Linked DNA regions of Drosophila melanogaster. The protein of the gene in region 1 interacts with the protein of each later gene in a pairwise test. Each region holds a gene or a part of one and is shown in the gene's direction. Other genes may lie near its edges. The genes, in order: Sirt2, E5, Cpr64Aa and Pgam5.

Region 1 (8,125 bases):
GTAGGGCTTTTCACCGGTGTGGATCTTCATGTGGTTGTTCAGCGTGGCCACCTGCCGGAAGTTGACCTCACAGATCTTGCACTTGTAGGGCTTCTCTCCGGTGTGCGTCTTGATGTGATTTACCAAGGTGCTCTGCTGTGAGAAGAACCGCTGGCAGACGCTGCAGCCAAACGGCCGGTCCGGATTGTCGCCCTTCAGCATGTTGATGGTGCCCACTACGGTCATCCGGCCCGACGGCGAGCCGCCCGCCTGGAAATGCTCCACCTTGGTGTTGGCCGCCGCCGTGGCCACTACCGAGCTGACCGTGGTGCTGCCGTCGAGGAAATGCAGTAGCGGATGGTGGTCCAGCTGGATGATGTTCGCCGTGCTACCGTGCAGGTTGTTCGGCAACAGGCCACTGGTCAGCTGCTGCGTCCCGGGCGCCAGAGGAGCGGGCATTGAGTGATCCACTGCAGATTGACGGTACGGAGTTGGATTGTTGGATGATTTGTTGAAGTTAGCATGCGTACAAGATTTAAATAAAAGCTTCGTTAGGGAAGAGCGTTAATAATCAATGCACACATGGATAACAGAAAGCGGCTCATTGGTAGGGCGAACACACAAGCGGCTCACCTGTGGCTGTGACGGCGCCTCCGCCGCCTCCTGCTCCACCGACGCCTCCAGGCGCTATCTGATGCGTGTGCGTCTTGAGGTGGTTGGTAAGGGTGCTCTGCTGGCGGAACTGCATGTGGCAGTAGGAACACGTGTACGGCTTGTCGCCCGTGTGGATCTTCTTGTGGTTGGCCAGCGTCGCCAGCTGGCTAAAGGACTTGTCACACGTTTCGCACTTGTACGGCTTAGGATCGATGTGGGTCCGCTCGTGGTTGTGCAGCGTGCTCAGCTGCGGGAAGCGGCGCTTGCAAACGCTACACTGGAACGGCTTCACCAGCTCCTCGGCCGCCGGCGAGCTGTAGCTGCCGGAATACAAGGTCTTTGAGATTTGGACGCGCTGATGCTGCTGCTGGTAGGCCTGGTGCATCTGGGACTTTCGGTGTTTGCCACTGCCCGTCTGCGGCTGATAGTTCAACAGGGAAGTTGGCGTGCTGGACTCCGCCGCTGTTGCCCGTAAGCGAAGCGAGAAATAGAGTTAGGTCATAAGGTCTATTGGGACGATGCGACCACACACTCACCCTTGTGCGTCTTGATGTGATTGATCAAGGTGCTCTGCTGGCGAAAGTCCTTGGCGCAGATGTTGCAGGTGAACGGCTTTTCTCCGGTGTGGATTTTCACGTGGTTGGTTAGCGTCGAGATCTGGCGGAAGGCCTTGTCGCAGTGTTTGCACTTGTAGGGCCGCTCGTCCGTGTGGATCTTCATGTGGTTGCGTAACGTGGTCAGCTGCCGGAACTTGTTCTTGCACACGTGGCACTGTTTCTTCTTGCGCGGATCGTCCACCACCACCTCCTCCTCGCTAATCACGCTCTGCACCTCCTGTTTCATAGGAGAAATGGGCGTGTGGCTGCCCCCGCCTCCTCCGCCACTGTTCGCTGTTGTAGTGGATATGTCCAGCAAATGGACCAGCGGGTGCTGTGGATGGAGCATGGCTTGGTGGGTAGGGTGCTGGATGGCCTGCACGGCGGTGAGTTGATGCAGCGCAAAGGGACTCTGTTGCAGGCTGGCCAGTGTGGTGGGCTGCTGCTGTCCCGAGTTGGGACCCGGTCCAGATCCACCATTACTCCCTCCTCCACCGCCACCGCCACCTCCTCCTCCGCCGCCACCGCCATGGGAGGCTGGCAGTTGGTAGTGCTGATAGTTGGCCATGGCTGCCGTGGCGGCTGTCGCATGGTTCAGATGCATGATATTCGAGAGATATGATCCTAGCGTGGATCTACAGTCTGCCCATCGGCGGCGTTACACAATGGCGGCCACCGACGACCCTCGGCCATTCCCCGCCCCCGCAGTTGCTTCCACTGCGCCGCTCCTTTTGGGGCCTTTTTTGATTTGTTATTTCAGTCGTCTGGTTTGCACTTCTGTGTACTTTTGCTGCGCTGCTGCTGCTTCTTCTTCTTCTCTTCTTCAACACGCTGCTTACGCTTCCACGTAGCGATTGGGAGGGCCTGAATCCGCGGCCACTTTGTCGCGCACTTCCCCACGATCAGTTTCCACCGTTTTCGCTCGCTTTTGGGGCGCTTTCTCCGCCGTTTCTGCAGTTTTTCCAGGCCACGCTCTTTTTGTATCCGTATCCTTATCAAAACAAAAATGACTGGCGTGGTTTTCCAGGGCTGAGCGAACGGGCAGAGCTGCACCCCCGCCGAACATCGAGTAATCGACTATCGGCCGGCCAGGGCTGGTGGCGCTAGAGAGCCTAACACTGGGTGGGTCGATAACAGCTATCGATTATTTGGACACTCCGTGCTGACAATTCAGCTGATTTTAACCTTTCAATTAGTTTATATTCAGATATCAACAAAGTGTAATTGTTATTTTATCTATACTCGATTTTGTAACTTTGCGCCCTTCTTAGCTTTAGTTATTCTATTATTCGGTTCCTTTTTGTTTAATGAGTCATAATATGTTCTAACCGTTACAAACACATATTTATTTGCGACCCTTAATAAATCGCTGTTAAATAAAAATCTTTCATTGATAGGCTACTTAAAGTAATTATAATATTTTGGTTTGCTCGCACAAATTTGATTTTAAAATCTAAATCAATAAGCAATGAAATTAAAATTCTAGCTTTTTAATAGCTGTTAGAGATAACTTATTCGTTAGCCTAAACCTATCGATAGTTGTCAGAACTTGTTTTGCTTTTTACGTTAAAACAAAACGCAACATAAACAATTGGGAGAATTCATCACACTATCCTCAGATTTACATACTTTCACCGGAAGGTGAATCTGTTTACCATGGGCGACATCGAAGTAAAGAAGGAGGAACAACCGACGACGCCCTCCAATTCCTCGTCCAGTGACGACGACGAGGAGGCCCCAGGCTAGTCTAAATAGTTAGGTCTTTACTGTCACTCATTAATTGAATTGAATTCTAGACGACACAATGGATAAGGTTCGACGCTTCTTTGCAAACACTCTACATCTCGGCGGCTCCTCGGACGCAAAGGAGGAAGTTAAAGTAGAGAAGGTGAGCGGAGCACCCGATAATTTGATTATCATATTGATTAAATCGCAAATTTGCAGGTTATTCCAGATTTGAGTTTTGACGGCTTTGCCGAACATTGGCGTGTGCATGGTTTCCGCAAGATTGTGACCATGGTGGGAGCCGGCATATCTACATGTTGGTACATTCTATATACCATTGTAAAAACTTACTAAGTTATCGCCATTCCTAGCTGCTGGCATTCCGGATTTCAGATCCCCAGGTTCCGGGTTATACAGCAATCTGAAGAAGTACGAGCTGCCACATCCTACGGCCATATTCGATCTGGACTACTTCGAAAAGAATCCAGCGCCGTTTTTTGCACTGGCCAAGGAACTTTACCCTGGATCCTTCATTCCCACGCCGGCCCACTACTTTATCCGTTTGCTTAACGACAAGGGACTACTGCAGCGCCACTACACCCAGAACATAGACACGCTAGACCGGCTTACTGGCCTGCCCGAGGACAAGATCATTGAGGCCCATGGCAGCTTCCACACCAACCACTGCATTAAGTGCCGCAAGGAGTACGACATGGACTGGATGAAGGCGGAGATCTTCGCCGATCGTCTGCCCAAATGCCAAAAGTGCCAAGGCGTTGTTAAACCAGACATTGTTTTCTTTGGCGAAAACTTGCCAAAGAGATTTTACTCCAGTCCTGAAGAGGATTTCCAGGATTGCGATCTGCTGATCATCATGGGCACATCGTTGGAAGTGCAACCGTTTGCTTCACTGGTGTGGAGACCAGGACCACGTTGCATTCGCCTCTTGATCAATCGCGATGCAGTGGGTCAGGCCAGCTGTGTGCTCTTTATGGATCCCAACACGCGATCGCTACTCTTCGATAAGCCCAATAACACTAGGGATGTGGCCTTTCTGGGCGACTGTGATGCTGGCGTAATGGCTCTGGCCAAAGCCTTGGGCTGGGACCAAGAGCTGCAGCAGCTAATTACAAGTGAAAGGAAGAAACTGAGCGGCAGCCAGAATAGTGAGGAGCTGCAACAAGGCAAAGAGAAACCGCAATCGGACCCGGATAAGATGACTTCGGGCGATAGGGACAAGAAGGATGCTTCGCTTTAGACCCTAAGATTAGTTAGTAACATCCGTAGTTAATTTGTAGTTGAATTGTGCAATTTGTTTACATGTGGATTACGTGTATAAAGCGGACAATGCCAAGCGCAGGCATTGCTGGCTAATACCGCGAGCTTTCTTTCTCCTCCGTTTCCGGCATTCAATTATTCAAGTGCCATTTGTGAGCCATTAGCGTGTCCCTTTTGGCCGGGCCACCATAAACCGCAAAAACTGATTGAGTTGCTCTGCCGTTTCCGGCGCACAAAAAGCAGCAAACCGCCAACAAAGGTTAACTCTCGACATGTTTCTGTTTCGTTTTCTGCTCTGATCCGGGCTTGGCTATGGATTTCGATGCTGGTGTTGGTGTTGGTGCTGATGCTGATTTCGATTCAGTTACAGCTGCCCAGCCCCTCGACATGGCTCGACCGCTGCTGTGGGCGTGGCATGTGGCATTCTAACTGCCTGTTTGTGTGGCTTACACGGATGCTGCTCCTGCTCCTGCTCCTCCTCCTGCTGCTGCTGCTACTGCTGCATCAACTTAATGACTCGCAATCTGTCCTGCAGAAGCACACACGCACAAAGCGAAAGAGACACACACGGTAGACCGGTAATGAAGCTTCTGCGGTGAATTGGCCAATAGAAAATACGTACGGGCAGGACTAATTAAAACCAAGCTCGCAATCGGGCCAGCGGATAGCTACTGCCGGGGTACACAACCGGATATTGTTAATCGTTGACAGGGGCGACGGTTCGGAGGTGGATGCATGGTATGATGGGAGGCATCCCAGCCTGTCAACTTCGGGACATGAATGGCTGCAGATGCATTAGGAAATCAAATGCAGCCACGGAAATATTGATAGCCACGCAATTTGTTGCAGTTTCAGCTGCCACTGCTGTTGCCATTGGAATTGCACTTGCTTTTGGCCCAAAACTTTTGCAATTAAAGCTAATGGCCTAAGATCTTGTCTATGTGCAATTTTCCCGAGTCTTGCCTTCTCAGCGAATGTTTTGCTGCACAAATAAAAATTATTTGTGTTCGCATGAAAAAGTTAAATAAATATCGATTAGCTCATCACGTTACGTTATTCAATACAAAGATTAGTTTGAAACATAAAAATAAATACGAAAAAGAAATATTCAGACTAACTGTTCACACATGAACACGAATATATTTAAAGACTTACAATTTTGGGCTCCGTTCATATCTTATGTAAATGAATCGAGAGCGATAAATTATATTTAGGATTTTGTTATCTAAGGCGACATGGGTGCATTGCTCAAAAACATGTAATTTAAGTGCACACTACATGAGTCAGTCACTTGAGATCTTTCCCCGCCTCCTAAAATAGTCCCTTAGTGGGAGACCACAGATAAGGTCCTCGCCGCTCAAGATAGGCAGATGTGCCCGAGCGTGGGACCTCGATAAGGCGGGGACTATTTACTTAGGCCTCTGCGTAGGCCATTTACTTTAAGATGCGATTCTCATGTCACCTATTTAAACCGAAGATATTTCCAAATAAAATCAGTTTCTTACAAAAACTCAACGAGTAAAGTCTTCTTATTTGGGATTTTACACTAACTATTGTGCTTATAAAGTGTTATATGTAATTTTTAATCAATTGACGCGAAAATGTTTAAATAATTAAATTTTCATAATATTCCTTTTTTCACAAGGATGTGATATAAAATTAAGATTGTATTGTATATTTAGTTGTGCAATAAAAAGTATGACTCTTGTATGGCATTAGCTATATTAATATGTTTAAATTAAATCATATTTATCTGGAAAACCTTTCATCTTTTTATATTATTTGTAGATGACCTAACGTAGAAAATAGGTTCTTCTAGCTTTTTGTCAGTGTCTCGGCCCACTCAGTCAAAATTGAGTCAAGTTGGCTCAATATTAACTTGACTTTCACCCCTCCTTGCGAGAAATGCGGAACGCCATTAAGTGCACTCCATACACACGCCATTGAGGAAGCCGGGTTTGTGGTAACCGAGGGAGGGGGCAGGTCATATTTGAGTGAGCATGTTTCATATTTGTAATCAAAATGCGATGCTTGCGAATCAGACCCAAGCTTCAACCATCACCACCCCCTCTACTCGCTGCGAGCCTGTTCATCAATGGCTTGGTAAGAAAGGCGGGGGGTTGATGAAATCGTGGACATTCCACGATGTCATCAGCGGCAGCTGCGCTCGCGCTTTGATATTGAATTCTTAACATGATTGTGTGGCGCACAGCTTGGCCGGGAATTGATTGAGCGCCCAAACAGAGAACCCATTTTGAACAAGGCCAATAACTCAGACGGGGCTAATAAAGCTGGGATCGCCATTGATTGTTAGGCCCTGGCCACAAACATATTTAATGGTCGTTTACTCTAAAATACATGCGTGGTTATCGTAGCGCAATCTTTATGAATATTTTATTATTTCTTTAATAAAAAGAAAGCAGAAGGAACCGCCACGGCGGCTGCCAAATGCCGTCCTCAAAACGCAATTTGTGTCAATAAATGTGGGTACAAGCGTGTGAGTTTTTATGAGGGGATTGCGCACAGCGTGCGACAAAATAATAGGTTTTCTTAGAAGCTGAACTTTCTACGCAATTTAAAAATAGTCAAATTTCTATTTGGTAATGGCTTATTATTCCAAAAATGGACAGAAGCTTATTAAAATGGCATATACGACTGAATACTTTAAAAAACTTTCAAGAAATAACAATATTGATAAAAATCATATATCTAAACTTTTTTTTAGACTTGGTGAAAAATATTTTGTTTAAATGATTCCAATCGTCGTATATATATTCCAATTCAAAGGATTAATTAAATATAAACTAATTTAAAAAAAAAATTAATCCATGCTACGGTAAGGACCTATATTTCTGTTCAAAGTACGAACAACAATTCTAAAAAGTGTGCCCAGGACTGTGTTTGAAGTTTGCTCGCATAGAACATCCCTGAATAATCAGCAGCAGTAGCCGGGAGCTTCGCATAATCGTCATAATCATTTTATGTGCATGTTGTGTGGCATACTTTTGTGCGCATAAATTTTTATTCAAGTCTTTGTCAACACAATTCGACGAAAACGATTGAGTGCGTGGGTGGGTTTGTTTGGGTGTGTGTGTGTGTGTAGCACACCCAATCCACTCGCATGTAATATTAAAGTGCGATTTGAAATGCCGCTTGCCGCACGGATCCAAATTGGCGGTTTTCGTGGCTCGAAATGAGCTGCGGTGGGGCTGGCATGTATAAAATAAATTTCCGCTGCGGTCCCCACAATCCGCCAATTGATGCACATAGATGTAGATATGATGAACAATAAACAGAATGCGAGTCCAATCGAGTGGTTGGCCAAATAGAATTATACTCAAAATCGCAGCCATCATATTTCTTACCAATGCCTAGCGAGGGCGGCAAAACAAAACGAGTTTAGGGATTGCCATTAATGAAGTGTAACGAATTGGAAAACCAAATAATTCGTATTGATTTCGCTGGTTTTTGGGACCGCAGGATGCATTGATTTGGCGCAGCGGCAAAAACGGGTCCATGGCCAATTGATTGGCCAAAGCCAATCTTCAATGAATAAATGAACGGATACGAATGCGAACCGGGCTGGGGCTATACATATGTGGTCGGAGCAGGATTTTGGGTCCGTCAGGTGCATTGTCGAGTGCATTTAATTGTGGCCCAGGACGCACAGAGCACTCCGACAAAAGGATTTGGCCAGGATGTCCCTGCAACGGCAGGAAAAACGGCTCAAACAAATAGAAAGAGAGAAAATGATTTACCCAAAACGTTTGGCAGTGGGCAATATTTTTCTCTTTTCTCAATTTTTTGGTCGCTTTTTCGTTTGCATGTCGTTTTGTTTTCAGTTCGATTTGGTTGGCCATCGGTTTTTGTGGTTAATTGAAATTTTTCATTTG
Region 2 (8,460 bases), 6.5 Mb from region 1:
GCTTCCTTTTCAGCCGGACAAACACAAAATGTCACGATTGAGTGAAGGAAACCCTTTCGATTGGCCGTGGAAATTTTTAATTAAATCAGTGCCCATGGCCGCAGCCGAAAATGCTCAATTATTAAAACAAATAAAGCCAATTAGCTGTGTCAACACGAAGCGCTGTTCGCTGCTAGATGTGGTGGTGGAAACTCCTGGCTGGCCAACCCTGGTGGCCATTATCCATTCGCTAAACATCCATCTCCGTCGCCAACCCCCAGCTGTCACTTAAGCCCCCCATTCCCTTCTCGATCGTCACGAGAAGTTGTTTTAATTGACACTGAAAAGCCGTCGCCATCATCGCACATCAGATTTCCCAACAACGGATTCATCAGCACCGTGGGCTTCCATTTGCGAGTCCAATAAAAACGCTAACGAGGCGAGGGTGCTCACAGATACTCAGATACTCTGCATGTATGTCTAAGATATTGTATCTGTATCTATAAATCGGGCAGATGGACAAGCGTAGGAGGGTTATCGCAGAACAATTAATTTCCAACCAATAATTGCGAGTTGAATAGGGGATAGGAAAACTGGTAAAAATATGCCCATAAAGCAATATGTCCATAAATGACAATAAATAATGCTAAAACATAAATGTTTTTTTACAATTTCATAAATTATTTGAATACTTTTGGATATCCAGATGCGTAAAGTTCGAGTACTTTTTACACTGAATCCAAATAGTACATTTTAAAAACTAAGATGATGCTAAATATATAATGGCCCTTGTGGAAATGTATAGATAGTAACATTATATTTAGCCTGTGTGAATGAGACCGGGTGACCCAGCCAACCATATACAGTACAGTACAGCCTGCCCACAAAGAAACCCCTTGTTAAAAACCCACCTCCTTGTGAAAATCCCCCCTTGTTGGAAACTGGCAAAGCCGTGCAAAGTACTCGTGATAATGAGCTCCATCTCGTTGGCAATTATTAAATGAAGTGGATTTATACGCTGTGGCCCCCTCCCCTTTCGACAATCGCCCCTGCCAACACCCATCCCGCTCACTCCAACGGAACAAAGCGTCCAACCCCTTGTTAGCAGCTGCTAATACTGTTGTCCCGTTCTCTCGCACACAGATACTGCTTGCAGCCAATCAACGCCAGTTGTTGGTTTATCTCGCTCAGTGGCTGTGGAACATGGAAACGTCTTGTGGATTGCATTTCCACATGCAGAGAGACTGGGGCAGAAAAACACCAGTGTGAAGTGGTCTATGGAAGAAGGTGCTTCCACTGGAAGAACCTAATTTTAGTCGACTTTAATTAGTTTGCTGAAATGCTAAGTAAACCTTATTCGAAGAACATTATAATTGTTACTGGACAGTCATTAAAGGATAAACCGAAGCTTAATTGTAAAGCAAATTAGGCGCTTTGTTTCTTCTCTTTATGTATGTTTATTTAATGTAAATAATGTTAGTAAATGTTTGTTGAATTATACAAAGTAAATTCAACGAAAAGATGTGTAACATATAAATTGATTAATTTTAAAATCCATTTTCATTTAACAGATATGCTTATCGTATTTGTTCGAACTAAAACCTGAGTTACACAAGAATTAAACAAATGTATCTCAAATATATAATTTTACATCTACCGAGAAAAAGGCCCTAGAACTTGCATCGCGTTTCGCGAACTGATAATGCAGGCATTTGCTGCATTTTATCTTTTTGTGGGCCCTCCTTCTGGTCATATATCAAGTGCGGTAAATGCCAAAAAATACGCCCACAAAATCATTGATTGCCGATCGATAACCTTTTGCGGTGATGGAGCATCCCATAAAGTTCTCGTCCCAGCTCATTGTCTGACTAATTAAATGATTTATCCCGAATCGTGAGGCAGAGGAGCTGGAAAGGAGATGGGAAAGAGTAAAAACCAATTACAATTACCGCACCCAGAGGTGCCACACTCACAGATATAGATATATGTATACGTGTATACATGAGTGCATCTGCGGCAGCAAAGCTGCTGCCCCACCGACAAGCAACGGCCTTATCTAGATGCATACAAATCCAGCCAAGCGCACGTCAATTTATTTGCCAACTCTCGCCTCCTTTCTGGCCAACATCCATATCCATTCATGGCCAAAAGGAGGAGAATCGCATGTATTTACCTATGAGAAGGCTGCGAAGTTGGCGCTGCATGTTTTATGCCTCCTCCTGCATCTTTAACGAGGTGTTTATTTTCACAACTCACAGCCAGCGGATGAGGATGCGGATAGGGATGGGGATGGGAATGGGGATGGGGATGGGTATACAGATACTCGGATGACCACGCACAGATACAGATGCAGATACGTTCCCTTCCCAGCACGCTGTATCTGTATCTGTGAGATTCGCGCAGTTGCAGCTCGCCGAAGGTGTAGAAACCAAGTTACCGCCCATTTTCGTGTCCAAATGCTTTTGGCCAACATGATGCAGATGCCAATTCAGAATGGTAGAATGGCCAAGCGGCGGGGGGAGGGAAAGTGGTTTATAGCCAGCACTGACGACGGGGCGTCTAAGCTATATAAGCGATGACGTTGATTCCACTGCACAGTGGTATCGGCTCGATATCCTTTGAAAAATGCGTATTTTCTACTTTTGAGTTATGTACAAATTTGAACACTTTTTAATATCGATTTTCCAGTAGATAGTAAATAATTTAATACATGAAAACAATTTAAAAACGGTTACTGATGAAAGATAAACGTTTAAGCCTTAAATATTTCAATGAATAAATACAATTCAATTAAATAAAGTTTCAATTTTTTTTTATTGTTAGTATTTGCATAATTAAAAGAGGGCACAGTTCGCTTTTCAATTTTAAATGTTATATTTATTATATTTATTTTTAATCATCGAAGACCTACTTCCTATCCACTGTTCGGGTGCACCACCCCCGTTCCCCCTCCTACGCTCCAACAAACTGGCCAACCCGCTTGGCACTAAAACCACAAACGCTTTAATGATGCTGTTTTGTTTAGCGCAAATTGTTTGTTTCGCTGTCATAAACTGGTGCGAAAAATGGCCAAGAGAGCGACAGAGAGAGAGAGAAAAAGAGAGAGATTGGGGCCCCTCACACACCCACACACCAACAAGCCCAGAGAGCGGGAGAGCGAGCGAGAGAGGAGGTGGCTCCACTTGGAGCCAAGCAGGTTTTCGGAATATCCACTGAACTATTGTTGCGCTGCTTTGGCGCACGCGCACCGAGCCACGTGTGCGAGCGAGACGCCAGCAGTATTGCTGCGCTGGAAGTACAAGCAAAGGAAGAAGAAGCACACTCGAACTGGCCCCACAAACTTTTTGCGGCTTTTTCCAACGCGACACTCGAGCTAAAACGCTCAGCGTGAGAGCCACGCAGCGATTCGCCGACGCCCCCGCCAAAAATCAGGACAGAAAGAGAGAAAGCGAGAGAGAGACAGAGGTTGCGAGCGGCGAAGTGGAGCCAACAATTAGACGCCTTTAGACGCTCCATAATGCTAATGGCGTTGACAGTGCTCATCATCATCGCAGCGCGGCCACCGCAATCGTTTCGTTACCGGGTAGCCGGCATAACCGTTAACCGTTAACTGATACCGCCACCGCCACCGTCAATCGCCAATAGTCAATCGCCAACCATCAATCGCCGCCGTCAATCGTCCAGCGAAGCGGTACGGTCACGCTCCAATCGCCGCGTTGCCGCCGCTCCAGTTACAGTTACAGTTTATCAATGTCACGCCGACGGATGCCAACCGCTGGAGCATCGCAGATACAACGCTACGTAGCTATATAGCTATAGCTATCTGATCGGAAAAACAGTGCGTGTGTGCTTATCTGATATCTAGTAACCATTAACCGATGTACGCGATCATGTTTCCATAGCACCAACCCATTTATTGGGAGCTTCGATCAGTACAACCCTTTTTCCGTTTCCGTTTCTATTCAGTTCAATTCCATTTCAATTTCCATTCCCTTTGATTTTAGTAGGATTTTTACCGTTTTATTTTATTCCTAAAACTTTTAGTTGAGCATTATTCTTTTATTTACTGATTTATCCCGTTCGAAAATACAAAATTTTTTTTTTCAAAAAAGTCAAATATGGAATGGAAAAAATGGAATTTAAGGCCTACAAGTGTTCTTATAATCTACTTCGACTTGCAGAGACTTCGAATCGGGAAGTTTAAGAGGAGGGAAAGTGATTCATTTGTTTTTCCAATCAACGAAACCCCTACCAAATGGTCACCTGCGGCCGGCAAACGTTCAACATGCTGCCCATGGCGCCGACGAGTCCTTTTGTGAGCAGCAGCTCCTCGGTGGCCGCATCCTCGACTTCCGTTTCCGCCAGCAGTACCGTTTCCGCCTCCGCGAGCAGCAAGCCCAAGCTGGCCTTCAGCATCGACTCGATTGTGGGCGAATCCTCGACGAGATCGGCTCCACTAAGGGTCAGTGTGATATCTTCGCCGCCGCCGCGCAGCGAAAGTCCCGCTTCGCCAACGAACACGAACAACAGTGGGCGCCGGACGCCCAGGGGCTATATCTACTGCCGCAGAAGGGATTCGCTGGATCGATCGCGCAGTCCTCAGAGATCACCGGTTAGCCGGTCGCCATCGCCCCCCAATGCAGGAGGCAATCCGGCAGCGGCCGGGAATACTGCAAAGTCCGGGGATCCATCGTCGGGAACGGGAAATCCTCCAACCCTCATCCGTCCGTTGCCTCTGCCGGCGCCAAATCTAGCTTTAATTGGGAACCGCACCTCACCGAACGCCATGGCGGTGCGCATGGCGGGTCCGCCCCACCCGCCGTCGCAGCCACCGCCGTTCCTTGCCGCCCAGTTCCAAATGGCTGCTGCACTGGCTCATCATCACCAGCAGCAACAGCAGCAGCAACAACAGCAACTTCCGCCCGTGCCAACTGGACCGCCACATGGTCCACATCCGCATCTGCCGCCCGGCCAAATTCCACTTGGAATCTTTCCCGGCGGACCGCATCCCGGGCATCCTCCGCCCCACGGACACCATCCGTTCGGGAGTGCGCCGCATCTGATCCGGGATAGCTATCCGTTGTATCCATGGTTGCTCAGCCGACACGGACGCATTTTTCCACGATTCCCAGGCAGTAAGTAATCACACTGTTTTAAATATATCTATTGTTTATTACAATATTTTCAATAAGTTCAGAGTTCAGAGAAGCTAACCGGTTTAGCAAGCGGTACTTTCATATGTATATAAAACCGCTAAAAATTATTTCTATAAATTGAAAAATATAATTTTTATGCATAATCATCTAAGCTAACAATTATTTGTAATAAATTTACTGCAAAATTAATAACAGTTTATATAACAATAATACATATCATTTAATTTAATATTTACCCTATTCTGATAATAAGAGTACATCTCTCTTTTACGGATTATTAGAAAGATAGTTGTTACATATATATTTTTCATATTTGAACATTAGAATATTATGATAGTTTACGGTCGGTTTCTTCTTCTGGAGATAGCAACCACCCCTTTTGTTGGTTATTTTTCGCTATAACGAGTTTTCCGCATTCATTATAGCCGTTTCAAATGGCCGCTGAGTGTTGCGAGCGACAGAGAAAAAGAAACCACACCTTAAGTCATATTCGAAGCCCAGCACCATTATAGTAGAGAGGACCCCAATCAAGCAATTATTCAGTTATCGCTGTTGTTGCCGCGCAGCTCCATATAATTAAAGTTAAATAAGCAAATGGCAAACATTTATTACAAGTTAATTAGACGTGTATCGGGCTCATCATCATCAGAGGGAGCGGGACGGAGAATGGGAGCGAACAGGAAGGGGGGAATGTGGAGGGAACCGAACCCATTTTGATAACTATTTCCAAACAAATTACATTTTAATTAAATTGTTTAAACAACATTACACACATCGTTAGGTCAAGCAGCGTACCTAAATGGCCAGCCAAGTGTGTGAGTGTGTGTTTAGCATTTATTTGCTCTATTTATACTTTTTCTCTTCACTCGAAATTACCATTAATGGCCAACAGACGGCGCCAGTTACTCATGCGGCGGGCCCATGCGGCGTATGTGTAACGTACGAAAAGTGCAACCATTGAAATGTTAATGCGTTTTTAATTGAGGTTTTGGGGCAACCAAGCAAAGAACCGAGAGGAATGGTAAAAAAAAAAAACTGGCAGATAGAAGCGAAGAGCCACCGCAAAGCGCATCTCAAAAACATTGTCATTTATTACGGTTTAACCACTTTTTTCTACCATTCCGCTGCTCTCATGATTACCATTTGAATTTCCAGGCCATGTTGGTATCCATGTTTTTTTTCGGCCGGTTAAATATAATAATAATTTTCGGCACACTCACACGCCTTTCACCTGCTTAAGTGTACATGTATCCCCGTTACGCCTTAATTATGTTGTACTCCGTTTCATTATTTTCTCCCTTTCTACTTGTTTTCCCATTTCCCGCCGCTCCTTCTCTTTTTTCTCACTTTTCTCCGCGCCGCCTGTAATTTTCGCTTGATTTATGAACGTGAAATGTCAATGTTTCGCATAACGATTTCATTAATTGTAAATGTTTTTCATCTCCGTTTGTTTTGTAACTCGTGTGAGTAATACCAGGTTACATGGGTTTGTTTTTCTTCCATTTTTTCCCGATCTGGAGTAAGATAATGGGGATCATCGCGATAGCGACGGTGATGATACGTCAGTAACTCAATTCAGCTTGCACGTGCTGCAATTTCTGGGTGTTGCCCTCTAATGCAGCCGTTGAAGTTCTGGGAAAACGGGTTAAATTAACAAGGCTGAGATCCTTATTATGGAGGGCTTAAATAGAGGGCACTGTAATTGGACAAGCTGCTTCGGGATTCCCATTCTAAAGGCTTACGAGTTAGCAGCTAACAATTAGTATACCTCATAAATATGTATCGTTAGAAATCGAATTTACGCATTAGAATATTTAAGTTGTATTCCTTAGTATCACTGCTCTATTTTATTGGTATCTTATGTAAATCATTTTTCAAAAAGAAGTATGTATGTATTTATACTCCACAGCATAAAACTGTAAAATCAAGTTTTTAAGTAGTGTTTTACCTTTTACTTCGCCCATTTATAAAATTGCACATTTCAGTAGTACATTGTTCAAACCCATTATCCCAACAAACCCACAAAATTCCATTCATACATCCCGACTGCAAATGGCCATTCCCGTCAAATCGATCATCACAACACATCATCCCCGTCTGTCATTCATTTGATTTCAATTATCGATTCCGAGTCAATGTCCTCGTACGCGGGACATGCGAGGAATGCAATAAATTAATGAAAAAATCATGAGAGCATAAAAATTAAGCCCTAACTCGGTAAAAAAGAAAGCAAACACAATTGCACATAAGTGATAAATAATAGGGCGCACAAAAAGGCCAGGACAGTCGAACAAACGAAATCGAAACGAAACGATCCGGCACTTCCATCATGGGCTAAAAAATAAGGTACACTCGAATCTCTATATATACAAAAAATGACAGCTGACAAGGGTGTGAGCCACTGCAAAAAAAAAAAAACAAAAACCATAAAAAACAACAACTTGGCCAGCAGAGCGGACACATCAATTAATTGTCAATTGCGCGTATTTTCGCACGGCGGTTTCCTTTGTGTCCACAAAGCTGGAGGAAAAAAAGGAAAAAGTGGGAAAAACTACACACACACTTCATTGAGAGCTGCTGCAGAGCTAGAAAAAATAATTAAGTGGCCATTGTGAGCGGCGGCATTATCAATTATACAGCCTCTTCTAAGATACAGTCGTGTATCTTGTATCTTGCAGCTACATTGTTAGCTGTCAAATGTAACAAATGTCAAGCGATCGTGGGCTATATAAAAAAAAAAGAAGAAGCCGAACTAGATCACTCTGGATGCTACCTCCTGGCAATCGTTTGTCAAGTTCATAGCAAAAACCAGGCACGCAGTCAGTCCGCCGAGTCAGTTGCATCTGTCAGATACGTGGATACATGGCCATCAATGGTGCGAGGCTGCATTTATGAAGTGTCGAATTGACAAGTTCCCATTCCCATTCCCATTCCCAGTCCATATCATTCCCTCTTCCCTTTTCATTGTTATTATTATTTTTTCCAGCCCGGCGGTGCTAACAAGACACAAGATACATTTCTGGGGTTGTATCTTGTATCTAATGGCTGCGCACCCTTTCTCCTTGTATCCTTTCTCTATTAGCTGTTTATTTTTGCAATGGCTTAGCTTCTGTTGTATAGCTTGTGTCGTATTTTATGAACGGACTTCCTGCCTCCGAAATCGATTCAATTTGGCTATAACAATATTGATTTTGTAATTGGCACACCTTGCGGCAGCGAAAAGATCCTTCAGCTTAGGCTTGTTCACTAAATTATATCACAACAGACGGCTGGTTTACGTTCCATGTTTGGCTAGGGAGATCAACTTAGCAGCTTTGAATGACCT
Region 3 (7,211 bases), on another chromosome or scaffold:
TCACCTACACCGCCGACAAGGTCAACGGATTCAATGCGGTCGTGGAGAAGAAGGGCGTGGCCGCGGTGGCCATTGCCAAGCCAGCTCTTGCCGTCGCCGCCGTTCCCGCCATCACCAAGATTGGATACGCTTCGGCGCCTGGTCTGAGTCTGGGTGGATACCACTAGGCGATGAACCGGTGGACCAAGCGATGACAAACTCCATGGCCTAGTTGTAGGACCGTTGTTAAATAGTTCTAATGCATTTACCCACTTTTCTGTCAGTCAAAACCCGAAACACAAGGACGTGCGTGCTGTTGCCACCCCGCTGTTGACCCACATTCCCAATCTCCGATCGAAGGATCGCCACCATAGACTACGTTTAGGGATACCGTTCTGGGGATCTGGGGAACGGCTATCGGCCACTTAGTGAATTAGTAACTGCATTTACTGAATAAAAGTTTCGGTACAAAAAAAAAGATTGAATGAATTGTTATTAGTTGTTCGATGGAACTGATCGGTTGGAAGTGATATTCGAAAAGTTGAAATATTTCTAGGAATGCTCCACATTCCCCTGCTTAACCCAGTTAAACATTGGGGTAGGTCCCGAGCTTCGAGTTAAAGCTCCCAATCTTAGATTCCGATCACGTAGTGCCAACTATATTTACGGTTATCACAATTCATATTGGTGGGGCTTCAATGGAGGGGAGAATTGTGCAAGTTGGGCCATTGGATGGCACGTCCATGGGGGAAACTTTTTGCAGGTGGACCAGGCACAAAAACGGGCCATTACGTCAGCAAATGGAATCGTTTTTGGCAGCGGTTGCCACACGGCGCATGTTATCGCGGAAATGTGGAGGCCCTTTATAACCCCGATCCAATGGCAATCCAAGACAGTTCCGACAGCATTGTCAAGCACAAAGCACCATTGGAAAACCACTATCCACCAGCAAATCTAGTCATGGCCCTGATCAAGGTGAGTTGAGGGAATCCTGGTCAAGGAATGTGATTGAACATACTACTAGGATCTGCACAAGTGTATATCTTGATCATAAATCAATCAATGCACCTTACTTAACCCACAGATCACCCTCATCTGCTGCGCTCTGATCGCCGCCATCGAGTGCGCCCTGCTCCCAGCTGCTGTTCCAGTGGGAGTGCCCCTCAACACGGAGGTGGATCCACATCCGCAGTACGCGTTCGCCTATAATGTGCAGGATGCCCTTACCGGGGACAGCAAGAGCCAGCAGGAGGTGCGGGATGGAGATGTGGTCAAGGGCTCCTACTCGGTGGTCGATGCCGATGGTTCACTGCGCACCGTCTTCTACACCGCCGATCCCATCAACGGTTTCAATGCGGTGGTGCAGCGAGGACCAGTTCCGGTGGCTGCTCGCCCATTGGTGGCTCCAGTGGCTGCTCCAATCTTGGGCTAACTCCACAATCTTTCAGAGCCTTTAACACTGCTTGTAACCTAGCTTTTACATAACTTATTGTCTGCTCCTTAGTCCGTTGTAAAGTCAGTAATCATTAAACAATAAACTCAATAAGCCAAAGAAATACATGAAATCCTTCAATCATATTCAAGGAAAATCCGCAAGTATTCGCTTCTCAAGGCGTTGATTAACTAAAATTAATCAAAAGCTCTACTAAAATTCCGAAACGAGTTTAAATTTACACCTATACATTTTTATTAATTAGTCAGTTGATTAGACAAGCTCAAGGCCCAAAATGCATACTTGCCTAGTTAATGATAATGAACTAAATTAAAAACACACTTAAAAGTAGTGCAAAATAACAAGATATTCAATGGACATTTTTTCAAGATCAAAATTTGCGTGTTAATTATGATGCAAATATCGTCGTTTTGAACTTGAAACTTAGCAGTGTGTTAACTTTTTCAATTACATCATAATTGCGGGTGTCAAGAAATGGAAATGGTTATGTGCTTAATGGAACTAATTACTTGGTGAACATTTTCGTGACTCCATGCCATGTAAAAGTGGTTTTGTAATTTTAAATGTAACAAAATGTAACCAGGAAAAGCCCAATTCGCCAAAGAAAGCTGACCCATTCCACTTACATAAGACCGCAATCTTAGATGGTTATCTCCCCTCCAGCTGTCCCACGCCCAAAGAACTCTTCCACTCCAAATGAATACATTCACTCTCGCTGGCCCAACACGCACTCAAATTATTCAATAGCTTAATTGAAAGTAAAAAATCGGCACGAGATGCAATTTTTGGATTACGCAAACCCCAACCCGAGCATGTCCATAGATGTTGCTGCCGGCGCCGACTGCAACTGCAGCAGTTACTGCAACTGCAACTGCAGCAACGCCTAACAAGCGGCGGTACGCGTTGAAAATTAGTGATAATGGCCAAAATTGTCCCAATGGCAACAGAGCAGCGAAACAGAACCAAATCTATACACTCAAAAAAATACTGCATGACATTCGAAAATCTATAGGATTGAACAGAATATTCTACAATTGATATCCTTTTGTATTGTATATGTTATCCAAGTACTTTTTTCGTAGAGATTTTAATATCACATATCACATTCATTGCGGTTAGAACTTTTTCGTTTTCTCGCAGTGCATTGAATGCGTCTGGCGTAGATTTTTTGGGTGGGCGCGGCTTAGAGCAGCCAGCCAGTTTCGAAGGCTGTGCCCCAAACACACCTTTCAACAATCGACTGCTGGGTGCGTGTGCAGCGTCGCCCCAATCTGGTGGCCATAAAGTCGAGACATGGAGACATGGGAGGCACTGGTGCTCATGCGTCCACCACACCTGATCCGTCCGGCCACCCGGCTTAGGCCCAAATAATTCGCTTTCGAATTGAACTTTTTTGTCACGACAACAACGACGGCGATTCAGCCGGCGTGGGACCAGTTTGCTTTGGTCCAGCACAGTCCTCCCAGACTCCCAGACATGCGTGAACCGCCAAGCACCTCCAGCGCCTTCAGCTCGACCGGCAGCTCCTCCACCTCCGGACAGCCCCTTCTGATTGCCATGGGCAGCGAAAAATGAATTATTTTATATTTGTCGCGATCGATGCGAGCATTTCGCATAGGCACAGGCCGCTACAGACTCCACACGCATGCTCACTTTTTAGTTGTTTATTATTATTTTTTGTGTCTTGCTGCGCTTTTTGCATAAATATCTGGTGGCAGGCGGCGGCGGAGGCTGTGGCGGATTTTTGGGCTCGCGTCTATGTGAGGCCTATAAAAAGCAATTGTCGTGCGGCCACAGAACCACAGATCGAGTTCATTTGTCAGTCGAGCAGCAGTAGACCTCCAGTTCTCCACTACTCCATCGCAAACACCAAGCAATCCGTCCAGAATGGCACAGAAACTGATCCTCGTCCTGAGCGCCCTGGTGGCGGTGTCCTCCGCCGTTGTGGTCCCTGGTCCCGGACTGGCACTGCCCGCCTATCCATCGTACCCGGCGCTGGCCAAGGTGGCTGCTCCTCTGGTGGCCAAGGTGGCGGGTCCGGAGCCATACGATCCCAATCCCCAATACACCTTCAGCTACGATGTTCATGTGAGTCAGCTTCGTAAGAAGTTATTAGTCACCTCATAAAAAGCAATGCCAATTCAGAAATCTGCATTCGAATTTTATTGCTTTATTGAGCAACTGGTATGCAAATTTTGATTTTGCCAGACATTTTTATGAAGTGTTTATGGAAGCTTAGAACTATTAAATCCGACCACTTGGTTGAGCAAGTTGGATGTTGGATATAAAATATTTATAGTTTCCTTGAAATCCTTAGGATATAAGATGCAAAGGATTCGTTTCAAGGCATTTCTTTAAATATAAAGTACCTATTCCTATCCTTTGCTAATCCAACAACTTCCTTCTGCCCACCAGGATGGCTCCACTGGTGACGTGAAGAGCCAGCAGGAGACCCGCAGCGGAGATGTGGTGCAGGGCGCCTATTCACTGATTGAGGCCGACGGAACCCGCCGCATTGTGGAGTACACCGCCGATCCCGTGCACGGATTCAACGCAGTGGTGCGCCGCGAGGGAGCTGTGGTGAAGGCTGTGGCTCCGGTGGCCAAGGTTCTGGCCCCGGCTCCGCTGCTCCATGCCTCTCCTCTGGTGGCCAAGGTGCCCGCCTATGGTCCGGCTCTGGCGCCCGCTTACCCGGCTCTGGCCCACGGATACGGACCGGCTCTGGCTCCCGCCTATGGACCTGCTCTGCCCAAGCTGGCCCTGCCCGCCCTCTCGCCCCTGGGCTACCACTAAGTCAGATGGATGGATATACACCACTCGAATAATGCCGACCTCTTGCCGCAACCGAATAATGGACACATCGCGACCAACTTCTCCTGCCACCTGGGCTCCAGTTAGCCGGAGCTCATGGGCCGATCATAGTCGATAGTAGTTGTAGTATTAGTGGAAATGAAAGCGATTTATCGAAATATGTACATACGAATTCACGGACAGCGGATTCCGATTGCCCAGTCCTTGAGTTACGGATCCAATGTTCCCTCATCTACACTCACACATTCTCGAGACCTTTCATTTATGTTTCTTGTCTTCTTAATCTTAAGGCTGTTTGACCGCGATAAATACTCTATAATCCCCAACTCACAATCCCCGTTTCAATTCTTATTTAATCCGAGCCTGTGCACTCGAGTAGAACTCGCAGAATGAGAAACGAGATTGCAATAAACGAACCGAAGCTATGCAAATGGAAAGTTAATGGAGTATTCTTTTACGGGAAATGAAAATTTGGAAGAAAATTACTCTGATTCTTGAGTTTTAAAACGGAAGCTGATTTCTGTTTAAAGCTATTGCTTGAATATTATATCGAAATATATTACAACCATTGAACATTAGTAGGATTCAAAGACAATTACTATATTTGTAGCTAAATAATTGAAAATATCTTATGTTACATATTTTTTGAATATATAATTTTCAAATAAATCGGTTTCCTTCAAGAACTAAAGAGTTATATTTGAATAATATTATTCAACTAATAGGCAATAACTTGCTTGTGAATTTTTTACGCTTAATAAAAAGTAAAGCATACTAAAGCTATTTAATTCGATTTTAATTGCCAAGATTGCGTTTAATTCTAAATCATTGAATGATAATCGCTGTTATTAGAACCAAAGTGCCATTATTCAGTGGCGGCTTAGACTTTGACACTGGCAACACATGAATTCCATGTTAATTTTGGGACATGTAGTGCACTTGTGTCGCTCACCGCCCGTGAGTGGTTCGACCTTAGAACAGAACAAGCCCCACCTGCGTGGGTCACCCACCGGGCTACCGATGCAGTGCGCCACTGAATGGTGGATAGGCTAATCGCTCAAGGTCGGGCCACGCACCACAGAAAACTGCGTAATTCGAGCGTCAATGCAAAGTGGTCTAAATGAAATTTATGGTCTCAATTGGAGAACAGTCCGTCGCCGATCCGATTGCCAATCGATCCGATCGAGTAATTGGCAACTGGCCACCGGGCACAATGGAGAACTTGGAACTGGAACTGAAACTGGCCGCGCCTCGATCATTGGCTTTGGATCCGGATAATTTGATCCGTCCGAGAACTGACCTCCATCGGAATGGTGCGGAGTGGACCCCACATCGTCTGCACATCTGCAGCGGCGCCTTCAATTATGCGCATATTTGTTATTATTTATGTAAAAATGTATAGATCGCATAATGACTTTTCGTTACATTTGCACTTGCATAATGCGACGGGCCTTTGTTGCAATCGACATTAAACGCTTTTGATGATTTAATAAAATTAAATTGAAATGTTAATCGCGACACGGCATGGGCGGGAAACTGGAGGGGGGTAGCTTCAAAAGACATGGGCGAAAGCGTAAGACAATGGGCGTGCTGCAGCTCCAAGCAACCGGTGCTACAATGGGCACCAAATGCTCGAGGGGCTACCAAAATATCGGGAAAATTTTAGAAAGTATTGCGGAAATACGATGATGCACTATAGTTTTCACATTTCATTAATATCTGCGCATTATACACCTTTAAGTTGAGCAACACTTTAAATTTAGACATTCTTTAACAACTTCTAAAGACAATTGTAGTTAAGAAACTTAAAAATGCCTTATGTAAGCAAGTAAACAAAATATAAGCATATAGACACCTGAGTAGATTGATTTTCAATAAAAAACTATAAAATATTTGCATCATAATAAAGTTTTTATTAATAACGACTAAGTCCTAGACCCCGGCCATATGATAATCTCAAAATCTCGCCACTAATCTCAGATTAGTGAATACGATTTTAATGAGATTTTCAGCCAAAAGTCCGACCATAAATAGCCATCGGATTATCACCGATTTGTGGCATTGTGTTTGACGCATTTCACCCATTGTGTCAGTGGAACTACTAAACGTATTGTGGTTACCACCAGCCGAGTGTGTTGATGATCATGATGACTCCGCTGCAGACTTTAATGATTGAGAGGGATTTGTTTGCATTTGGAAGTGAAATTAACACAGAGCGCGGCGGCTTCTGGCCATGTTTGAGTCTTCGAGTGATTCGAGTGGTGCCTTCAGGTGATTAAGTGATCACGCACACATGTAATGCGAGTATTTATTATAACCATGCACGCTGGCACGCTCGATTACAATTGTCGCCTCAAATGCGAGGCGGGCAATTAAAATGCTGAATTTCGCGTCATTTCATAATGGAATCGGGGCGGGCTTAGTGACGTTTACACAGAGAAAAATCACTGACGTGAAAATGTAAACTAAATATGAGAGTGGATGATACCTAAAACTGGTAATATAGGAGGAAGAACCGGAATTGATATAACATCTTTAGAAGATATTTAACGTTATAACCTTAGAATCCACTTATTAAAATAGGTACTTTTTCTTTCCATGTGATAATAGGTACATATATCAGAGAAGTACTCACCCGGTGTACCATGGTCCGCGTGGGCCGTACAAGAAACGCTTGGCGGTCTTCCAACGCTTCCGTATGTGGCTGTCGATGGTCTTGTGCTGCAGTGCAGCCGCCTGCAGTCGCTGCATCTCCTCCACCTGGCGCACCTTCCACGGCATGTAGATCTTCTGCTGGAAGAGGCGCCTGTTCTCCGCCTGATTGGTGGCCCTCTGCTTGGAGGCAGCCTTGCAGGCCTCGTAGCACTCCGCCCAGAATCGATTGATGGGCTCCCACAGATGTAGTTCGATGTCGCGTTGGTAGCGATCGTACAGAGGCTTCACCTGAAAGTGTGAGAAATTAGAGATT
Region 4 (6,861 bases), on another chromosome or scaffold:
CAGCAGGACCGCTGACCAGGTGCGGCGGAGCGTGCAGGGGAACGTGTTGGTGCTGCTGTTGCTGGTGCTGCTGAGCGCCATGGTAACGCGGTTTGTCTGCCTTGCGCCACAGCGTGATCTCCTGTTGTTTGAAGTAGCGCCGGTCCTCGGTGTCCATCAGCACAAGGTTGAGGAAATACTTGACTGAGAACTTCTTGTTAATGTCCCGCATGGTCGGCGTGAGATTGTAGCCAGCAAGAAAGACCCGGATGGGTATGCTCTCGCCTTTGACGGGCGCTCCGTCCATGATCTCGTACTTGGCAATCGTTTCGTTTTCGTTAAACATGGTGGGGCCCGTGCCCGTGCTCTCCTTCTTGATGATCGCAATCTCCATGTGCTTGATCTTAATGCGCACCAACAGGAAGTAGATCTTGCCGATAATCGTGTCCCGCAGGTGGTACTTGCTTTTGTTATACTCGAATTCGATGTGCAGGCAGTCTTCGATGCCTACCTCCATCTTGATGGGGTTGTTCATCTCCGGGTAGCTGCACAGTGTGTGCACGGCGATGTCGACCTCCTTCGTTATGTCGCTGATCCGCCTGACGATGGTTGCGCGCAGGAAGTACCGCAACCGCACGTTCGAGCCGGCGTACACCTCGAATTGCTTCTCCACTTTGGGGAAATCGAATGGATAGCTGTTGTTCTGGATGAGATCGCCCGGGCGGGCCAGGGCCTTCGCTAGACACTTGAATTCGTGGTGGTTACCCCGGTCGTAGTACAGTTCGATCTGGCCAATGAATTCGATCTTAATGCCCTGGTGCTCCAGCTTGCTGCCCGGCTTCTTGAGGGTCACGTTCACCTGGATGAAAAGGGGGTGGATATGGGTTTATCTCTGGTTATGCTTGGGGGAACTCCCCCCGATGCTGACCACGACGCACCTTGCCGGATACCGTCTCCCCGTCGTAGAATAGCAGCATCTTCTCCACTTTGCCGTCCTCCCCTTTAACCTCTGCCGTCTTGTGCTCAGCTCCATCAAAGACTATCTCAATGTCCGCTGACTGGCCGAATCCCAGGAAATTCATAATTGATAAACGTCGAATCGGCTTCTTCTTCTTCCGTTTCTTATTGCCCCCGCCTCTGCTTCTTGCTGCTCCGATGGAATGTCGACGCTGTGACTCCTGTTGGCGGCTTTTCCTAGAGATATCTTTCTGATAACCCCTTCAATAAACCTCAGCTTTGATAGGCGTTTTTCTGCGGCCTTTTTACGTCCTTCGTTCCGATGCTGGCGTATCTGTCGCGTCTGTGTGTGTGAAATGAAAAAAATTGCAATTTTTCACACTACGGCGTTGCCATATCGCGTCAACCTGATTGTTATTAAGGAGTGCCAGCGCTGGTACTTTTCAGTATTCAGTATTTGCATGGTATTTCTTTAAGAAACACATACGGAATAATTAACGAAACAATTGATTGTGGATCCTTAATTTTCTTGGTATACAATAATTGTGTAAATATATTTCGTATTTTTGATTCATCTTGGTAACTTTTCGATAGTTGAATTCTAAATGGTCTTGCGCGGTATTTATATACCCGCTAACCTAGTATGTCAAATACCAAATCGCAGTATTTAAATACCGCACTTATTCAGCGGAACAAAACTAAAATTAAAGAAAATACCTAAAAGCCCTAACGATGCGAAAGTTGACTAGCTTCGTGTGCGGCACAGGAGCCGGACTGGCGGCTTACTACCTACAGCGGCTGCGGGACCCGCAGACGGTCGTGCAGAACTCGTGGACGCACAGTGATAAGCCGGTGGATCCGTGGGCCCTTTGGGACACCAACTGGGATTGCCGGGAGCCACGGGCCCTCGTGCGTCCACTGCGAAACAGCCAGCCGGAGGAGGAGAACCGCTACAACGCGGAGCTTGAGAAGGCGAAGGCCAAGAAGGCGCGCCACATTATCCTAGTGCGGCATGGCGAGTATCTGGACGTGGGTGACTCGGATGACACGCATCATCTCACGGAGCGCGGCCGCAAGCAGGCGGAGTTTACTGGGAAACGGCTCTGCGAGCTGGGCATCAAGTGGGACAAGGTAGTAGCCTCCACAATGGTGCGGGCCCAGGAGACTTCCGATATTATTCTCAAGCAGATCGATTTCGAAAAAGAGAAAGTGGTGAACTGTGCCTTCCTGCGTGAAGGAGCGCCTATTCCGCCCCAGCCGCCAGTCGGCCACTGGAAGCCGGAGGCATCTGTAAGTCAAGTCAAGGGTCAACCCAGTGCGTATTCCACATGATATTCGGCTTTCATTTCACTGCAGCAGTTCCTTCGCGACGGATCGCGCATAGAGGCCGGCTTTCGCCGATACTTCCACCGCGCCTATCCCGACCAAGAGAAGGAGAGCTATACCCTGATCGTGGGACACGGCAACGTGATCCGCTACTTTGTCTGCCGAGCCCTGCAGTTCCCCGCCGAGGGTTGGCTACGGATTAACATTAATCACGCTTCCATCACCTGGCTGACCATCAGTCCATCCGGCAACGTGTCCATCAAGTACCTGGGCGACTCCGGCTTTATGCCCGCCGAGCTGCTTACCAATCGCATACCGCGCGACGTCAAAAACGTGGTTTAGCCGTCTGTTTATAGAACTGCCCAAAGGAGAAGCAATCATAATGTATTTATTTCCAACACTTTAACTGAGACCTTGAGCACAGATCGCGAGACTGTGTAAACCACCATGTACATTTTGCCGCACCGTAACGTATATCTCTTAAGGAGGAATCATTGAATCTTCCGACTGAAATAATAAAGATTTTATAGAATGCCTAACATTTTATTGAGAATCCTTATATGTACAAAAGAAGCCATGAGGAGCCTAAACCCTGCTCAAGACCTTTTGGAGTCGCTGCAAGCACTTGCGTATGCCCACATCTTCTCCAGCGCCGCGTTTTAGCTCCACCTGCTCTGCCTGCTCCCTTATAAAGGATAGGATGGGAGCCACTAGATCCGGCGCCAGCTCTGCCAGGTTGATCAGCATCTGGAAGTAAAAGTAAGTGCAGTGGGCCAGGTGCTTTTCGGCGAGGGATCGCAAGTGATTGGAGCACATATCCCTGACCGCCTGTGATCGCTTGTAGGCATCGTGCGATATAAGCACTTTATAAAGTCCAAACACTTGGTTGCGACTGAGGTCCACTTCGTCCACGAACATTACGTGTTCCAGCAGCGGGATGTGCACGCCGCGCAAAACGGTTAGCAGCTGTTCTTCCTGCTCTTTGCCAGTGCTCTCTATCAGTTGCTGCATTATAGTGATCACCAAGCCCGCATGCTGTCCTGCCCTCCGCCGCTGGACCACCAAAAACTGGGTAACGAGGAGCTGAAGCACAAACTGCGCCAGCTCTCCATCTACATCCGCCTGGAGGAGGGTGGCATATGGACGGGCCACCAGCTTGGCGTTGGATGAGAAGCTAAAGTGCGGCGTCCAGTGCTGAACTAGTTGCTCCAAAGTCTTGGCCACGTATGCGTCCGTGCGGTAAGGCAGTCGACCAATGCCTTGCAGCAACACTGGGAAAATCTTGTGAACCACTTGTGGAAGGCGACCTTCGGGCGGCACTCCTGCCTGCAACTGCGTGGTGAGCAGGAACCGCACCATGGCCAGGTGGAAGAAGCAGCTCGGCTTGGATCGCACGTACGCTAGAGTGGAACAATTATAGATGACAATGGCTAGGAAGCTGTAGAACCGGGAACCGAGTTCCGATCGGCTTCGATCCGGGGGTAGCCATAGCTCGAAATGATTTACATAGGCATGCAGTTTGTGGCTCAACTGCATACGGACGTGGGCAGCAGCCTCCTCTTGCTGGGCACGCCTTCCCAGAGCTCCAAAGAAGGCGCAGAGAGGCTCGCGCCCGCCCTCCAAAGAGGTGGGATCAATGGCCAGAAGTCGGAACTCCTCTAGCTGTGTGACATGGGGCATTAAAGCCAATACAGATTCGTGTTGTGCGTTTAGGAGGACCAGAGACTTCACCCAGACCTGAAGAATGGTGGAGCTGGCAGGTCGCCCTCCGTCTTCCAACACCTGGAGCAACAACTGAGCAGAAGCAGCCATATTGATGGGTTCTGGTCCCTGCAGGAAGCCCAGTAGCAGTTTGTCCCCATTATTCTCCAGGGCGATGAAGTTAGCCGCTAGCTTTGGAAGCCATGAGCTATGGCTACTAACGTATTGGGTCCTCACCAGTGGCATTATGTGCTGTTGAAGTGCCTCCTTGATGCCACTCGCATTGCCAGCCACAGCTCTCCGCTCGCTGAGACGGAGGATTAAATTGTGAAGCGTCTGCCATACGCGATCCTGCGATGCCTGCCCACACTTTTCGACGTAATGTGCCAGCCATGGCCCGAGAAGCTGCTGCTCGCCGCGGTTGAAGTCATCCGCCAGATTAAAGATGGCTTGAAGGCTGCCCACATAAATGGCGCCCACCTCTGCATCATTGCGAATGGTGGCCAACTGGTTGAGCAGCTTGCTCACATAGTCATCCATAGATAGGCGATGCTGGGCATGCAGAAGCAGCAGGGCCATGTGTCCCTTGGCCACGAGAATCCTTCGCACCGGAGGCAGTTTTTCCAGGGCCAGGCAGAGCAACATTTCGCGCAGCTTGGGCGCCAACTCGCTGAGATCTTCGTGGCAGAGCAGCAGGCACAGAAACAGCTCGATCACATGGTGAATACCAGGCTCATTCAGAGCCAAAAGTTTCGCGGCACTAAACTTGCTGAATATGCGGCCGAGTAGTTTCTGACGTTGGTTGCTTCTGCCCTGCGATGGTAAAAGCTTCAAGGTTTTGCCCAGCATCCACGCGTACATGGTGAAACTGCTCAGATTCAAATCTTCTATATGCGACTTAGACAGCAGTTTGTTGTAGCGATCGACGTAGGCCGACCCATTGGAACAGGTAAGCGGCAGCTGATCTAGCTCAGTTCCCACACTAAAATTGCAGTTGAGGGATCGGTGAAAGTACTCCCACAGCTGGCACAGGACATCAGTATCCGGCTTGCCCAGCTGCAGTTGAAGGGGAGAGAGTTGAATTAGGTAGACCCGCCGCTGCTGTTCGTCCGGCTGGCTCGCCAGAAATTGCTTAAGCAGACTGGCAGTTTGGAAGCTTTCTGGTGCCGCAGTGAGCGGCGAGTGATCCGGCTGGTACCAACCCTCACTGTTGTATTCGTCCAAGCGGGCCAGTCCTAGCCTCAACCAGGAATAGAGTTCGTGGTATGCCAGAGAAATTGCATTGCTCTCACCTCGAGAAGAAAAACGACTATAAGATGAGGGGAAGCCGCACGGTCTAGCTTCTTTGTGCACTCACCCTGGAAGTGGAGTGACTTGTGCCTCTGCATGGCCTTGTGGAATAGAGTCCAAAAGTCTAGCTCCCGTTCTCCCAGCCATTTGGGAATAAGACGTTTCAGCAGCAGCCACAGCTCCTTGTTGCAGCGACACATGAACGGCGAGGAATGGATGAGCTCCGAGCGATGTTTGCTGCGGTAGTGATGTCCAGCACAAACGATCAGATCGTCGAGTGTGCGCTCCAGCTGCCCTAGGAACGCTTGATCATTCCCAGAGGCGTACAGTATATGCAGGTCCAGAAAACGCCACTCCAGTACGCCGTGATACAGGTGATACGCCGGCGCCTGGCAGTCGTTTCCCTTGTTGTGCTCCGCAAAATACAAAACCTTCCAGGTATCCGCATCCAGCTGATCGTTGAGCAATTGTCGAAACCCATCAAGAAAATGTGAAGGCAGCAGCTCATTGCCTCGTAGGAGCAGCATCAGATGGTAGAAGTGTGTGACCTGCTGGCGCACTCTATACCAACCAGAGTTCATAGAGGCGGCCGTGGCCTGCAGGTGTTGCTGGCCCATCACGACGGTTAACAGCTTCTGCACATTCTTACTGAGAATGGAAGAGTTGTACTTGTTGGCAGCTGCCAGGGGAGCTCTAAACTCACCAGGCCTCGCCGTACAGGTAGTTTCTTACCGCGCCAACCGCTAATTGAGCCGGAGCAAAGTCAAAACAGAGATAATCCAGGCGAGAGCGGGGCGGATCCAATTGGGCGTAGCCATTCCCCAGAAAGCCTCCCTCGCACAGTTGGCTCTTCAGAGTGTCTCGGCCACTGCAGTTGAACTCGGGCAAGTGTAGACCGTCGACTAGGTCCTCTTCGCTATCGTCCACGTCTATTTGCGCGCTCAGGGTTTCCTGCTTCTGTGTCGCCTGTATGAAGGTAGCCAGGATCTCCTCGTCATCCGACTGAAAAAGGTCGTAGTCCATGGTGCAGTCGGGGATTTGGCGTTCGAAACCAATTCTCTGGCGGATAAGATTTTGCGCGGCGATATATTTTATTATTATTAGAGCGCTGTGCAACACTGTCACAAAGCCGATAGCTTCGATAACGGCCGATAAACAGGTAATCTTTGTGACATTTGGACTTTTGTTTTGGACCTGATTTGGCCCCTTTTCTTATCGTTGGTTGCCCCAGTTACGTAGCATCTCCACTTCGAACACCATGTCTTTCCGCCCATTGGTCGAGGGCGACTGCGGTGGAGTTAATCCTCTCATGCAACTGGGCGGACAGTTCACCCGCGATGTTGCCCACAAGGATGAGGGCTATGTGCAGCGACACTTCGAGCGCGCTGCTCGTCCCGAGGACCAGTTGATCAACGAGTTCCTGGGACAGGTCACTGCCCCACCGCAGTCATTTCAGATGGACACTCTGCTCCAGGAGATGCGGGACATAAATATTCACGGAAATCCGCAGCAGCAGATGCACTCTCAGCAGGCGGAGCAGTGGGGACAGGACTTTGCCCGCGGACTGGCACCCGCCCTGCCCAACAAGATGATCCACATGCAGGCACA

What was found.
Region 2: the proteins of Sirt2 (region 1) and E5 interact in a two-hybrid assay, tested with the Drosophila melanogaster proteins (one large-scale study listed by BioGRID).
Region 3: the proteins of Sirt2 (region 1) and Cpr64Aa interact in a two-hybrid assay, tested with the Drosophila melanogaster proteins (one large-scale study listed by BioGRID).
Region 4: the proteins of Sirt2 (region 1) and Pgam5 interact in a two-hybrid assay, tested with the Drosophila melanogaster proteins (one large-scale study listed by BioGRID).

Annotation. Positions count from the first base shown.
Region 1 is NT_033777.3:20,325,704-20,333,828, forward strand, and holds Sirt2 (sirtuin 2), read left to right. Parts: upstream 1-2,761; 5' UTR 2,762-2,885; coding exon 2,886-2,970; intron 2,971-3,025; coding exon 3,026-3,117; intron 3,118-3,173; coding exon 3,174-3,270; intron 3,271-3,325; coding exon 3,326-4,212; 3' UTR 4,213-5,212; downstream 5,213-8,125. Other genes in the region: CG4360 (uncharacterized protein), read right to left, coding at 1-449, 613-1,095, 1,170-1,833.
Region 2 is NT_033777.3:13,869,954-13,878,413, reverse strand, and holds the start of E5 (E5), read left to right. Parts: upstream 1-3,497; 5' UTR 3,498-3,817; intron 3,818-4,160; 5' UTR 4,161-4,234; coding exon 4,235-5,114; intron 5,115-8,460.
Region 3 is NT_037436.4:4,205,201-4,212,411, reverse strand, and holds Cpr64Aa (cuticular protein 64Aa), read left to right. Parts: upstream 1-3,233; 5' UTR 3,234-3,319; coding exon 3,320-3,520; intron 3,521-3,847; coding exon 3,848-4,225; 3' UTR 4,226-4,574; downstream 4,575-7,211. Other genes in the region: Cpr64Ac (cuticular protein 64Ac), read left to right, coding at 1-167; Cpr64Ab (cuticular protein 64Ab), read left to right, coding at 940-954, 1,064-1,411; CG43367 (uncharacterized protein), read right to left, coding at 6,879-7,186.
Region 4 is NC_004354.4:1,868,338-1,875,198, reverse strand, and holds Pgam5 (phosphoglycerate mutase 5), read left to right. Parts: upstream 1-1,633; 5' UTR 1,634-1,668; coding exon 1,669-2,226; intron 2,227-2,292; coding exon 2,293-2,604; 3' UTR 2,605-2,799; downstream 2,800-6,861. Other genes in the region: Vps26 (vacuolar protein sorting 26), read right to left, coding at 1-838, 918-1,061; CG14803 (uncharacterized protein), read right to left, coding at 2,848-5,255, 5,321-5,901, 5,957-6,276; Pex5 (peroxin 5), read left to right, coding at 6,275-6,412, 6,485-6,861. UniProt on the Drosophila melanogaster protein: Displays phosphatase activity for serine/threonine residues, and dephosphorylates and activates Pk92B kinase. Has apparently no phosphoglycerate mutase activity.